3 linked regions of the Coturnix japonica genome follow. The protein of the gene in region 1 interacts with the protein of each later gene in a biochemical or structural test. Links are inferred from orthologs where the notes say so. Each region holds a gene or a part of one and is shown in the gene's direction. Other genes may lie near its edges. The genes, in order: SLC9A3R1, ABCC2 and TBC1D10A.

Region 1 (2,366 bases):
CACATCATGGCCCACCTGGAGCATTGCAGCAGCCGTGCTGTTGTGTTGCAGCCCCATCTGACATCCCATGCAGAGCACAGGGGATGCACTGGGCAGCTCCCGGCCAGCACATGGACACAGCTGGCTGCTGGTACGTCCTGCCGTAACCTTTGGTCCCCAGCTGGGCGTTGGTGAGCCTTGACCCCACGGTGTTGTGCAACGGGGACGGGGCTGATAGCAGCTGTGGGGCTGTCACACAGGCTGTTCTCATTGCGTGGCTGCTCCAATGTGTCACCCTCGGCAGCGCCCTGTGTCTGTCCTTGGTGCCAGCCCAGGATCATTGCTGGCCAAGGGAGTTTCGTGGTGTGATGTGGGTGTGCTGTGGGTAAGGAGCAGCGCAGGGCACGCACGAGGGGAATTCCTGCCTGTCCCCAGGGATGGTTTGGGTACCAAAGTAGGACAGACGAAGGGAAGGATAAGTGATGAAACCCCGTGGTGAGGGATATTTTAGGAACTCCAGTGTGACTTTTGTCACTGGGAAATCCCTACCGCTGATCGGGGGCTAACGATCAAGACAGTATCACTATGCATGTATTATGTGAGTAGGATGAGAGGTGATGGTTTTACACTGTGCCGGGGACTCAGGTTGGGCATCAGGAACCATTTCTTCACCCAGGGGCTCACAGTGGAGCAGGGGAGCCCTCTGGGGGTGCTCAGCTCCGTGGAGATGTGGCACTGAGGGATGTGGTCACTGGGGAGGGGTTGGATTGATGATCTTAGTGGTCTTTTCCAACCTTAATGATCCCATGAATCTACAACTATGAACAGTTGGACACTGAGTCAGGCTGGGGTGGTGCCACCAGGAGGTGAACGCCCCACGTGCTGCTGCCCTGCTCCTGCAGGTCCTGGTTTGCTGCAGCCATAGGTTGGGCTGCTCAGTGTGGGTGCTGCTCTGTGAGTACCTGGGGTCCCTTTGGTGCCACCCCCAGATGGGGGATGATGTGGTCTTTGTGTCTGCAGGAGGTGGGACCTGTTGGCATAGGGTGAAGGTGGGTGCCTGCCCTCCATCCAGGCTGCTTCCTCCTCTGCCTTCACTGGGCAATCTTAATCCCAAAAGGAAGAGCCCGATCTGAGGATGTGTGTAATAACAGGCTTCCGTAATGGAACACCATAGTTACCATGTTCTGCACCTAACCAGGCAGGGCTGGGGCTCACGGTCTGTTCTGGTCTCCATGCCCAGCTGGAGGTGCCCACAATTGTGAATTTCATGGGTCTGCAGCCCTGTGCCATAGCAGGGTGAGGGCTGAGAGCCGCCATCTCACAGCCATCCCTTCACTGTCCCCTCGCAGGAGCTGCGTCCCCGGCTGTGCCACATCAAGAAGGGCCCCAACGGGTACGGCTTCAACCTGCACAGTGAGAAGAGCCGCCCTGGGCAGTATGTTCGTGCTGTGGACCCCGACTCACCGGCTGAGGCGGCGGGGCTGCGAGCCCAGGACCGCATTGTTGAGGTGGGTGATGGGGTCAATGGGAGGCCAGCAGCATGGTGTGTCCCTGAGATACGGGATGGGCGGGCAGCGCCCAGGAGCTGCTCCTCTGGGGCACCCCCTGCCCTGAGTGCTGGCGGTGACTCAGAGCAGAGCCATCCCACCCCTGGGTGCAGCCGTGCTGCTCATCAACCTGTCACCCCGTGCAGCACCGCTGTCCTGGGATGGGAGGGCACAGACGTGAGGGTGTGTGGTGGCTGTGTGGGTCCAGGGCTGCCCGTGCTCGCCGTGCTGGGGTCAGCCGCCCTGTGCCGTCATCTCCTGGCACTGCCCCGCTCCCCGTGCAGCCCTGTGCTAATCGCTCTGAGAAAATCTGCTTTTAATGAGGTTGTGCTGCTAATCCCTGCACGTCTCCGGGCATCCGCGGGGGGCTGAGGAATGTCCGTTATCTCCGTGACACCCACAGGTGAATGGGACGCCCGTGGAGGGCAAACAGCACGCGGATGTGGTGGCGGCCATCAAGGCGGGCGGCGATGAGACCAAGCTGCTGGTGGTGGGCGTGCTGGCTGATGAGTTCTTCAAGAAGTGCAGGGTGGTGCCCTCGGAGATGCACCTGGCAGGTGGGTCCGGTGCCAGGCATGGGGATCCCATTGTGCTGGGATGGGGGTTGGTCGGCGCCTTCCTGCCCGGCCCACAGCTGGCACGTGGCTGTGGGGTGTGTGCTGGGCAGGGTTTATTGCCCTGTGGTTTACACTTTGACAGGGCTTATGGCTCAGGGAGCGAACGGAGGGTGTGTGGTTGTCCTTCACTTTGCTCCAGCCTCGGCTCAGCCTTGGCCCCCTCCCTGCCCTGATGGTGGCAGGATGCAGCCCACGTTGGCTGCCCCGGAGCTGTTGTGCCCAC
Region 2 (4,239 bases), on another chromosome or scaffold:
AATATTGTGCTGACGCAGCCTTCCGTCATCGTATATGTAGTTCGGTTCTTTTGTGTAAAGTTTTGATTGTTTTAAAAAGGCTTTTGAACTCAAAGGCACCATAAGAAAGCAAAGAAATAAACTTCTTAGAGATTAGGAGGTCTGGACTAATCTGTACATTGCCTTGCAGAAGTCTCTGTCCTGGAGCAGACCCTGTGGGGGCATGAGTGGGAACTTCAGTTAGCTTGGTCCCAGCAAATAGGTTCTGGATATTGTAGTGGAAGAAGCTGTGTGGAAGGAGCTGAAGGATACGAAGGTGACTTTTAAGGGTTTTCAGGAGGATGAGTATGTTGCAAGACTGAGGGTGGAGGAAGAGTGGATGTGCTTGTTTTAAACATTCTGGGCTGAGGAAAGCTGTTCAGCTCTGAACGAGAGAGCAAAGACTGGGAGAGGATGGGCTCTATGATATGCATTGAAAACCAAGGCAAGTGAGGGGACAGAATATGGGGGGGATAGGAAGCTGTAACTGGGGCAAGAGGTCCCCTTATGAGCCTTATAAGCAAGGCCAGTGGACAGTGTGAAATGTGGTAGGGACAAGGGCACCTTTAAAGGGTCGTGTATGTGAAGATGAACTGGTAAGACTGGATCTCATCTACTGTACAAAAATAAGCAGGAAATTAAAGGTAGGGTTTAGGCATAGCCGAGGTACAATATGTATGAAGATCTGTGCAGCTTGGTTGGGTGATGGGAAACAACACGGTGTGGACCAAAAGTTGAGGACAGGAACGTGTTCAGCCTCACAAATTACATCAGCACTCTGGACCGACAAGAATCTGAGGGAGTGGCTGCTCCTCTCAGTGATCTCTTGTCTAATGCATCAGATTGCTGCTCTCCTCAGTACTGTATTGATGCTGGCTGGAGAGCCTGGCACTATGGACAGCTGTTTACCAAAAGGGAAGTGGACTTAATCAGACAAAGTAATAATAATTAACCAGCAGGTTAGACGTTGGACCTTCCTCTGCAATTGATGGCAAGGGGCTTATTCCTGAGCAATTAGTCATTGTATCACCCTTGACTCCTGAGCTACAAACACTGAACAATGAAACAGCAGTTTTCTTCTGCTCTGTGCACCCTGCCCTTTTACCTAATGCTTCTTGAAATCCTGTGAGATGAAGCAAATTCTATTTGTTTTAGGATAGACCCATCCCCTACAGCCCCCACTTCCCAGAGTAGCAGGATGGTGGTTTAGGGCCAGTCTCCCTCCAGGTGTGGCTCTCTGGCTGTCACTGGGGTACTGGGGGTTGCTGGAGTGGTTCCAGCAGAGGAAAGATGTACCACACCAACACAGGTTGTCTTGTGGGACCATATACCTTTCTCAGTATACACTGATAAAGGCTGTGATTTTCAAGCAATGGCTCTATGGTGCAGTGAGTCTGTGACAGCAGTTTCCCTTCCATCTCTCCTCTGAGCCTCCCTCTCTTGCCTTCCCTGGAACTCATGTGGTTTTCCAAGGCCCTTTTGATCACTGGTTTGCTTTCAGAGTTACACAACCACACCAAGTTAACAATTAACTGTGTGCCATCAGGATTTGATCCTGACACCGACCAAGGGTGTGTAGGGACTTTTATTCCAAGCATCTACCCAGGACTCTCACAACTGAGCAGAACGAGAGAAGGAGCTGCTGGCTCTGCCCGCCCCAGGCATGCCAGCATCTCTGGAGGAGTTCTGTGGCTCCGTCTTCTGGGTGAGTGGCTGTGTTGGCCCCATTGGGGTAGGGAGCTTGGTGGGCAGTAAGTCAGGATGGTGGGTGCTGAGTGGGGTGGAAACAGGAGGGATAGAAGCTATAAGAGTGCTGGTGCTGTGAGTCAGGTGATGGCTGAGCGATCCTGAGTGACTTCAGGGGAGGATCAGGTTCGGTGCTGGGAAAAGGTTCTTCTGCAGAGAGCAGTGGGCACGGAGCAGGTTCACCAGGCAGTGGTCACAGCCCCAGGCTGACAGGGTTTGGGAAACACCTGGACAGTGTTCTCAGATGTAGGGTCTGATTGTTGGGTGGCCCTTTTGCAGAGCCAGGGGTTGGTCTATAGATCCCTTCCAACACTGGATATTCTATGATTCTGTGGTTCTATGACCTGACTGTCCATTCTTGTCTCCAGAATGACTCCTACCTTGCTCGCCCAGATGCCGACCTGCCGGTGTGCTTCCAGCAGACAGTGCTGGTCTGGATCCCCCTCGGCTTCCTCTGGGTTTTGGCTCCATGGCAGCTCCTTCCCATTTGCAAATCTAAATCCAAGAAATCATCTCTGACCAAACTCTACATCATCAAACAGGTAGAGTGGGGCTGAGGGAGCACAGAGGGCAGCAGGTGCAGCCCGGGTGAGCAGTGGTGAGTAGAAAGCTTCTAAGCTGGAGTGGGGTGAAGAATGAACAGATGAGAAGTGTAGGAGCAAAGAAACACTGATGGAACACCCAGAAGGCAGTCTGTGATGACACATACCTAGGACAGAGGACAGCATAGGGCTGGGATGCTCCAGGAGGGAGGTCTTAGGTGTGCATTGCAGCCTCTGATATTATGTTATTGTGTGCCTCAAGGTTAAAATGATGACAGTGCTCCCATGAAAGGGCATAAGAAAGATCTTTGCACCAGGTTTGGGTTGGAAAAGGTGCAGTGATCTACAGGGCTTAATGCTTTTATATCCAGTCTTTTTGTCTCCTACTGGTTTCCAGTGCATGTGGTGGGCTGGGTCTCTCCTTACAACTGCCCTTCTCTCCACACAGGTGCTGGCTACATTGCTGTTGATGACAGCTGTGGCAGAGTTGGTCTTGACAATTACAGAGGGCACAGGGCAGAACCCCCTGCCAGCTGTCATGTACACCAACCCCAGCCTGTACATCGTCACATGGGTAAGGGTCAGCGGGACAGTGTGCTGAGTGTCACCAAAGAGATGGCATGAGATGGCAGGGCAGCAGAAAGCTTCAGTAGCATGGGGATGGAAGGAGGCTGCATCTGCAGGGGAGCAGCCTGGGAGATGGGGATGGGGCAGCTCTGAGAACCTGCGGGGATTCTGTGGGAAGGAAGAATTGAGAAGTGCCGTAGAATTCTGAGGCAGAGGAGATTCGTGATTAGAGATTGGATTTGTGAATGAAGATATGTGAGACTGGTCCTCTGGGGAACTGAGGGCACAGGAACTATGTGCGCAGTGGAACACGTGCGCAGGAGTAGTAGATATCTTGTGGAAGTTACCCACCAATCTAACAGTATAATAAATCCATAAAACTTAGAAGCTACACTTACATGCAAACACAACAATTAGCTAATGATTGCTATTTTATCAGTTGGATTCATGTGCAAAGTTTAGGAGATACTGTTAACCATGGGTCTCTGACCTGTGTAATGCCAGGCACGCAGTTGATGTTCAGGAGCCAGGGCACTGCTTTATGCCCGCTCTTTACAGCATGGCCAAGAACCTGGGGTGAGAGCAGCTAAAGCATAATGCCGGGGTGCCCTCAGACCTTGTTTTTCCTATGAGTATTTTGATATGATGTCTCCCTGAAGTAAACCTTTGCCCTGTGCAATGAACTCTGAAGCTCCTGTAGGACTTGCAAAGACCATGCGTGCCAGTGCCTGGGGACACATACCCCAAGGGTGTGTTTGAAAGGCTGATCTGGTCCTGCTGCCCTGACCAAACCTCAGTGATGTTCCTTCTCACAGGTCCTGGTCCTGCTGATCCACTATGCACGGCACTTCTGCTTGTGCAGAGATTCGGTGGTACTGTTCTGCTTCTGGATCCTGTCCCTGCTCTGTGGGATCCTGCCATTCCAGTCCCTTGTCCGGAGAGCACTGCAGGTTGGGTTTGGCAAGAAACTGTATATTTCCCCATGGCACTGTTCTGTCCCCAGAGAAAGTAACAGAATCGTAGAATACCCCAAGGTATTATCCCATAAGGGTCATCAAGTCCCTTATGGACCTCAGCCCCTGAACAAGCTCTCAGTGGCATTACTGAGGTCCCAGCTGCCCTATGGGAACTGGAAGAGAAATAGCCTTTTAAATTCACCCTCTCCCTTTGAGGAAGTGTGAGAAAACCAGGACTAATTTCTCCCCTTATGGACATCTGGGAGGAGGGAAGGGAGAAGGAAAGAGGGGTGGTGAGAAGAAGCTGAGACAGGGCACAGAGTTCTGCAACTGCCCTGTTGGGACTGCCCTTATTTGGATGCTGTTTCTGGGGGCCAGTTGGCCTTGAGACAAGCCCCAGTAGTCATCCT
Region 3 (4,238 bases), on another chromosome or scaffold:
GAGCCTGGCAGGGCTGTGCTCAGGCAGGAAAACCCGCCGCAGGCTTCAGTGCTGCTGGAGAGCTGGAAATAGCTCACGTGGAGCCCTGCCAGCAGGCAGCCAATCTACATAGCGCAGATAAACGTTGTAGCAGACTGTCCGTGTGTATCTTTGCCTACAAAACAACTGCTATCACAGACCGCCACTTCGGGGGGAAGGACCTGCAGCACAGCGTGCCACAAGAGTCTGGAAAGGGGCTGATGTGCTGAGCTCAGGCCTGGGCTCTTTGGTGGTTTGTGAAGGGTCCTCATTAACAAAGCTTTGCTTGTTTAATTTCCTTTTTTTCTTGTTGTTAGGAGGAAATCAAGCCCTGGTTGGAGGCACTCAGTGCTGCTCTGGCTCACGGTGAGATCACAGAATCACCAAGGTTGGAAAAGACCTAAAAGACCATCCAGTCCAACCATCCACCTAATACCAATAGCTCCCACTGCGCTGTGCTGTGAAGCTGGGGGGCTGCAGGTGTGGCCCAACACGAGCTGGGGCAGCTCTGCAGTATCACCCAGCGCTGGGCCGGGCCCTGCCGCACCCTTTGGGCTTTATATTGAGCACGGCCAGTTCTACCTGCTGCTGTGCTGTGGGAGTGCCCTCAGTACAGGGTAGCACTGCGGTGCTGCTGGGCTCACTATGGGCCTGGTGCAGCCCTGGGCCCAGCACTGTCCCGGTGCCTGCAGGTCCCCCTCAGCCCCTGCTCAATCTCAGCGCTCCCAGTTTAGTTCCAGTGCTCCCAGTTCATTCACAGAATCACAGAATGATCAAGGTTGGAAAAGACCTAGAAGATCATCCAGTCCAACCATCACCAATACTTCCCAGTTAAATCATATCCCTCAACACAACAACACATAGGACCCCATAAAGACCACATAGGACCCCGGGATCCAGTTCCCCCCCAGTCCTGTCCCAGTGCCTCCTGTCACATCCTCACAGCTCCCAGTTCCACCCCAGTCAGCTCTCGGTGCCCATCTCAGCACAGCCCCCATCCCTGTTCACCATCACCATCCCATCCCTGTTCACCATCACTATACCCCATCCCTGTACCCCATCCCTGTACCCCATCCCCTCCCTGTACCCCATCCCTGTACCCCAGCCCCTCACCCCGCCCTTCTGCCACTACCGGGCCCGGCGGAGGCAGTGGACGCCCTGATTGACAGCTCCCCCTTTCCCCTCGCCCAATCCCTTCTCCCGTAGGGCGGGCATTCGCGTCCCTCCTTCCCTCCGATTGGTCGAGCCTCTTCTCCCGCCTCCACCCCTTCTCCTCAGCCAATAGCGAGGCGGCGTCGGGGCGTGGCGGTTGGCGAGGGGCGTGTCCGCCGCCGTGTCCGCGGCATGGAGGAGCGGCCGCCGAGCCGCTGAGCCGCCATGGCCAAGAGCCGCGGGGGCGGCGGGCCCGGCTCGCCCGGCAGCGCTCGGGGCCTGGCGGGGACACGGGAGAGCCTGGCTGAGGCGGGAGGAGACGAGCTGAGCTCGCTGGGATCCGACTCGGAGGTGAACGGCGGCCCCGAGGAGCGACGGGTCGATAAGTTCGGCTTCATCGTGGGCAGCCGCAGCGCCGAGGGAGCGTGAGTGGGGCCGGGGGGGGTCGGGGCTGAGTGAGGGGGGCGGGATCCGCTCATAGAGCACACGGTTACACCGCGCATACAGCCGGCAGCCGCCCCGTTCTCCTCCCGCTGCCGCCGCTCGGCCCAGGCCTCCATCCTCCTTCCGCCCGCCGTGCTCTGCGGGGACCCGCTGCTCCCGGCCCGTTGGTCGTGGCGGCCCGGCCCGGTTGGCTCCGGCCGTTGTGCGGCTGTCATTAGCGGGACACCGGCCGTATCCGTCCATCCCCCGCCGCTCCGAGCGCTGCCGTGGGGCGGCATCCAGCCGGTCTGGGCCGCAGTGCTGCTCTATTGCACACACACGGAGCGGCCCGGCCATAACTACACCGCTTAGAGCTGTCATCATCCCCCGTGGCACCCGACACACCGCTGCTAACGGCCCCCAGCCGGCAATGAGCCAGCCCGGCATCCAGCATCCAGCATCCATCCGTCCCGCTTCACACGCCTCATTGAGCCCCGCACTCCCCGTCCCCATCTGCTGGTCGCTGTTTTGAGGCTGCCCTTGGAGCTCAGGCTGCTCTAAACGATTGTGTTTGGCCCCGTCTGACCCTGGGTGGGGCCTCACGGGGCGTCACTGCGATGGGGCTGCACATGGATGTGGCACCAGGCACAGCACATAGGGGCAAGCTGACCCCATAGAGGGGCTGTGCCAGCACAGAAACACGGGCAGGCAGCACCAAAGGGACGGGTGGCCTCTGGGGTGATGGGTACAGGGTTTGCAGTCCCACTGATGTCCCTTTGCTCCACAGATTGGAGGAGGTTCCCTTGGAGGTGCTGCGGCAGCGTGAGTCCAAGTGGCTGGACATGCTCAACAACTGGGACAAGTGGATGGCCAAAAAACACAAGAAGGTGAGTGCCCACCTGCTGTCTCCATGCAGCAGATAGGGACAGCTGCGTGTAGCAGCATCACAGGGGGACTTCAGTGCAGCCCAGACATCAGCTGGTCCCTACAATTGTGTTGTCCTTGAGTGATGCTGTTGGCTCAGGTGGGCTGTTCCCCTTCCAGCCCGGCTGCTGCTGCTGCTCACGGCTGCTCCCTGCTGGGCTGCAGCTTCCCAGAGCTGGCTTGGCTGCCTGTGAGCAGCCATGGGAATTGTTAGGTCATGGAAACTTCTGCTCTGAGCATCTTGCAGACTGCAAACAAAACAAAACGAAAAGCTGTGGGTAGGAAATGGTGGAGGCTGATGTGCAGGATGCAGCCTGCAAGCTGGGGTTTGGCAGGAGGCTCAGCCCATGCAGGACTGCTTTGGTGCTTCCCAACATCCTGAGGGTGTGAATGGAGCAGGGATGGGACGCAGCGAGCCCCAGGGTGCTGCCTTGTCACTGACAGAGGTGGGGAGGGCTGGGGGTGGCATAACCCTGATGTGCCATGTCCCCTCTTGGTGCTGTTTGTGGCATTGCTCGGTGCCTGGTGACCCACAGAGGAGTCCTTCATCTGCTTCTTGTTGCTTCAAAAGGGTCGCTGGGAGCTTTTGGGGATGCTGCAGGTGGGTGCTTTGTTTCCGCCGGTGCTGTGTGCTGCTCTCTGTGTGCTTTCCAGGCTCTGCTGAGTGCCTCGGCAGCCATCCTGCTGGCAGGCAGCTCCCTCGTGCTCAGGCTGAGCTCCAGGAGGTCCCCATGGAGCTCCATGCGCTCAGTCCTTCAGCAGAATCAGAGCCTGGAGCCTCAGGGGGCTGCTCCAGAGAGCTGCTCTGTGCCCAGGCCCTGCAGCCGAGTGGCTCATTCGCACCTGCACTTCTCCACTGTGCTGAAATGGAGCTGTCCTGGCTCACATCCCACCAAGCTGAGCAATGCCAGCTCTGCCTGCTGCTCCCTGCCCTTTCCAGCCGGCCCGTGGGAGTGCAGACACATGGGCAGCTCCGGCGACACTTTGCTTGCGGCCTCCCCCAGCCTGTGTGAATTCCTGGTCTCCCAAAGGGCACACGGGGGTGATGGCAGGACAAAGTTTGGAGCCGGGGTGGCCCATAGGGCTCAGCCTGCCCCAGCTGCATGGCTCAACCAAGCCTGAGCTCCCAGCAAGGCGGCTTCCTTCCTGGCTGCTTAGCCAGCAGGAAGGGGAGTGAAGAGGGAGCTGTCAGCGGCCGAGCTGCCCGTGGCTGCCTTGGGCATTGCCCACAGCATTTCCTGTAAGCTCAAAACCCTCACGGGGCCCAATAGGGTAAACACAGCAGTGCTGCGGTGAGGGTGCAGCAAGGAGTGTGGCGTCAGCACCGTGCTGGGAACACAAGTGCTTGCTTCTGAGTTACGCTGGCAAACAGGGAGAGCAAGCTCTGGGCAGGCAGGCGGTGCCCAGGGCTGCAGAGCCTCAGGGTGCTGTTGGCTGCAGCATGCAGAGCCCTGGCACTGCTCAGGCACAGGGTGTGTGCCACCCTGTGTGTGAGGAAGTGAAGTGAGGTGACTGTGTTGGAATTACTCAGGGCTTTGTGCTCAGTGTCCATCTCATGGGACCACAGGGAGCTCATGGCACTGCTTCACCAGTGGAGCTGGACAGGAGCAGGAAGGGACACAGCCTGGCTTCAGGTGGCAGCTGCAGGGTTAAGTGTGTCCGCTCTGTGCTGCGGAGCTGGCACCCACGCTGCCCAGCCTGGACTTTGCTCTGGCCAGTGC

Evidence for each region.
Region 2: the proteins of SLC9A3R1 (region 1) and ABCC2 form a complex in vitro, tested with the Homo sapiens proteins (2 studies listed by BioGRID). The link is inferred for Coturnix japonica from reciprocal best matches to the Homo sapiens genes NHERF1 and ABCC2.
Region 3: the proteins of SLC9A3R1 (region 1) and TBC1D10A form a complex in vitro, tested with the Homo sapiens proteins (2 studies listed by BioGRID and IntAct). The link is inferred for Coturnix japonica from reciprocal best matches to the Homo sapiens genes NHERF1 and TBC1D10A.

The regions. Positions count from the first base shown.
Region 1 is NC_029533.1:9,149,543-9,151,908, forward strand, and holds part of SLC9A3R1 (Na(+)/H(+) exchange regulatory cofactor NHE-RF1), read left to right. Parts: intron 1-1,328; coding exon 1,329-1,487; intron 1,488-1,929; coding exon 1,930-2,083; intron 2,084-2,366. UniProt on the Homo sapiens protein: Scaffold protein that connects plasma membrane proteins with members of the ezrin/moesin/radixin family and thereby helps to link them to the actin cytoskeleton and to regulate their surface expression. Necessary for recycling of internalized ADRB2.
Region 2 is NC_029521.1:19,253,699-19,257,937, reverse strand, and holds the start of ABCC2 (canalicular multispecific organic anion transporter 1), read left to right. Parts: upstream 1-1,382; 5' UTR 1,383-1,681; coding exon 1,682-1,723; intron 1,724-2,132; coding exon 2,133-2,306; intron 2,307-2,754; coding exon 2,755-2,880; intron 2,881-3,688; coding exon 3,689-3,823; intron 3,824-4,239. UniProt on the Homo sapiens protein: ATP-dependent transporter of the ATP-binding cassette (ABC) family that binds and hydrolyzes ATP to enable active transport of various substrates including many drugs, toxicants and endogenous compound across cell membranes.
Region 3 is NC_029530.1:9,671,566-9,675,803, forward strand, and holds the start of TBC1D10A (TBC1 domain family member 10A), read left to right. Parts: upstream 1-1,318; 5' UTR 1,319-1,395; coding exon 1,396-1,595; intron 1,596-2,380; coding exon 2,381-2,480; intron 2,481-4,238.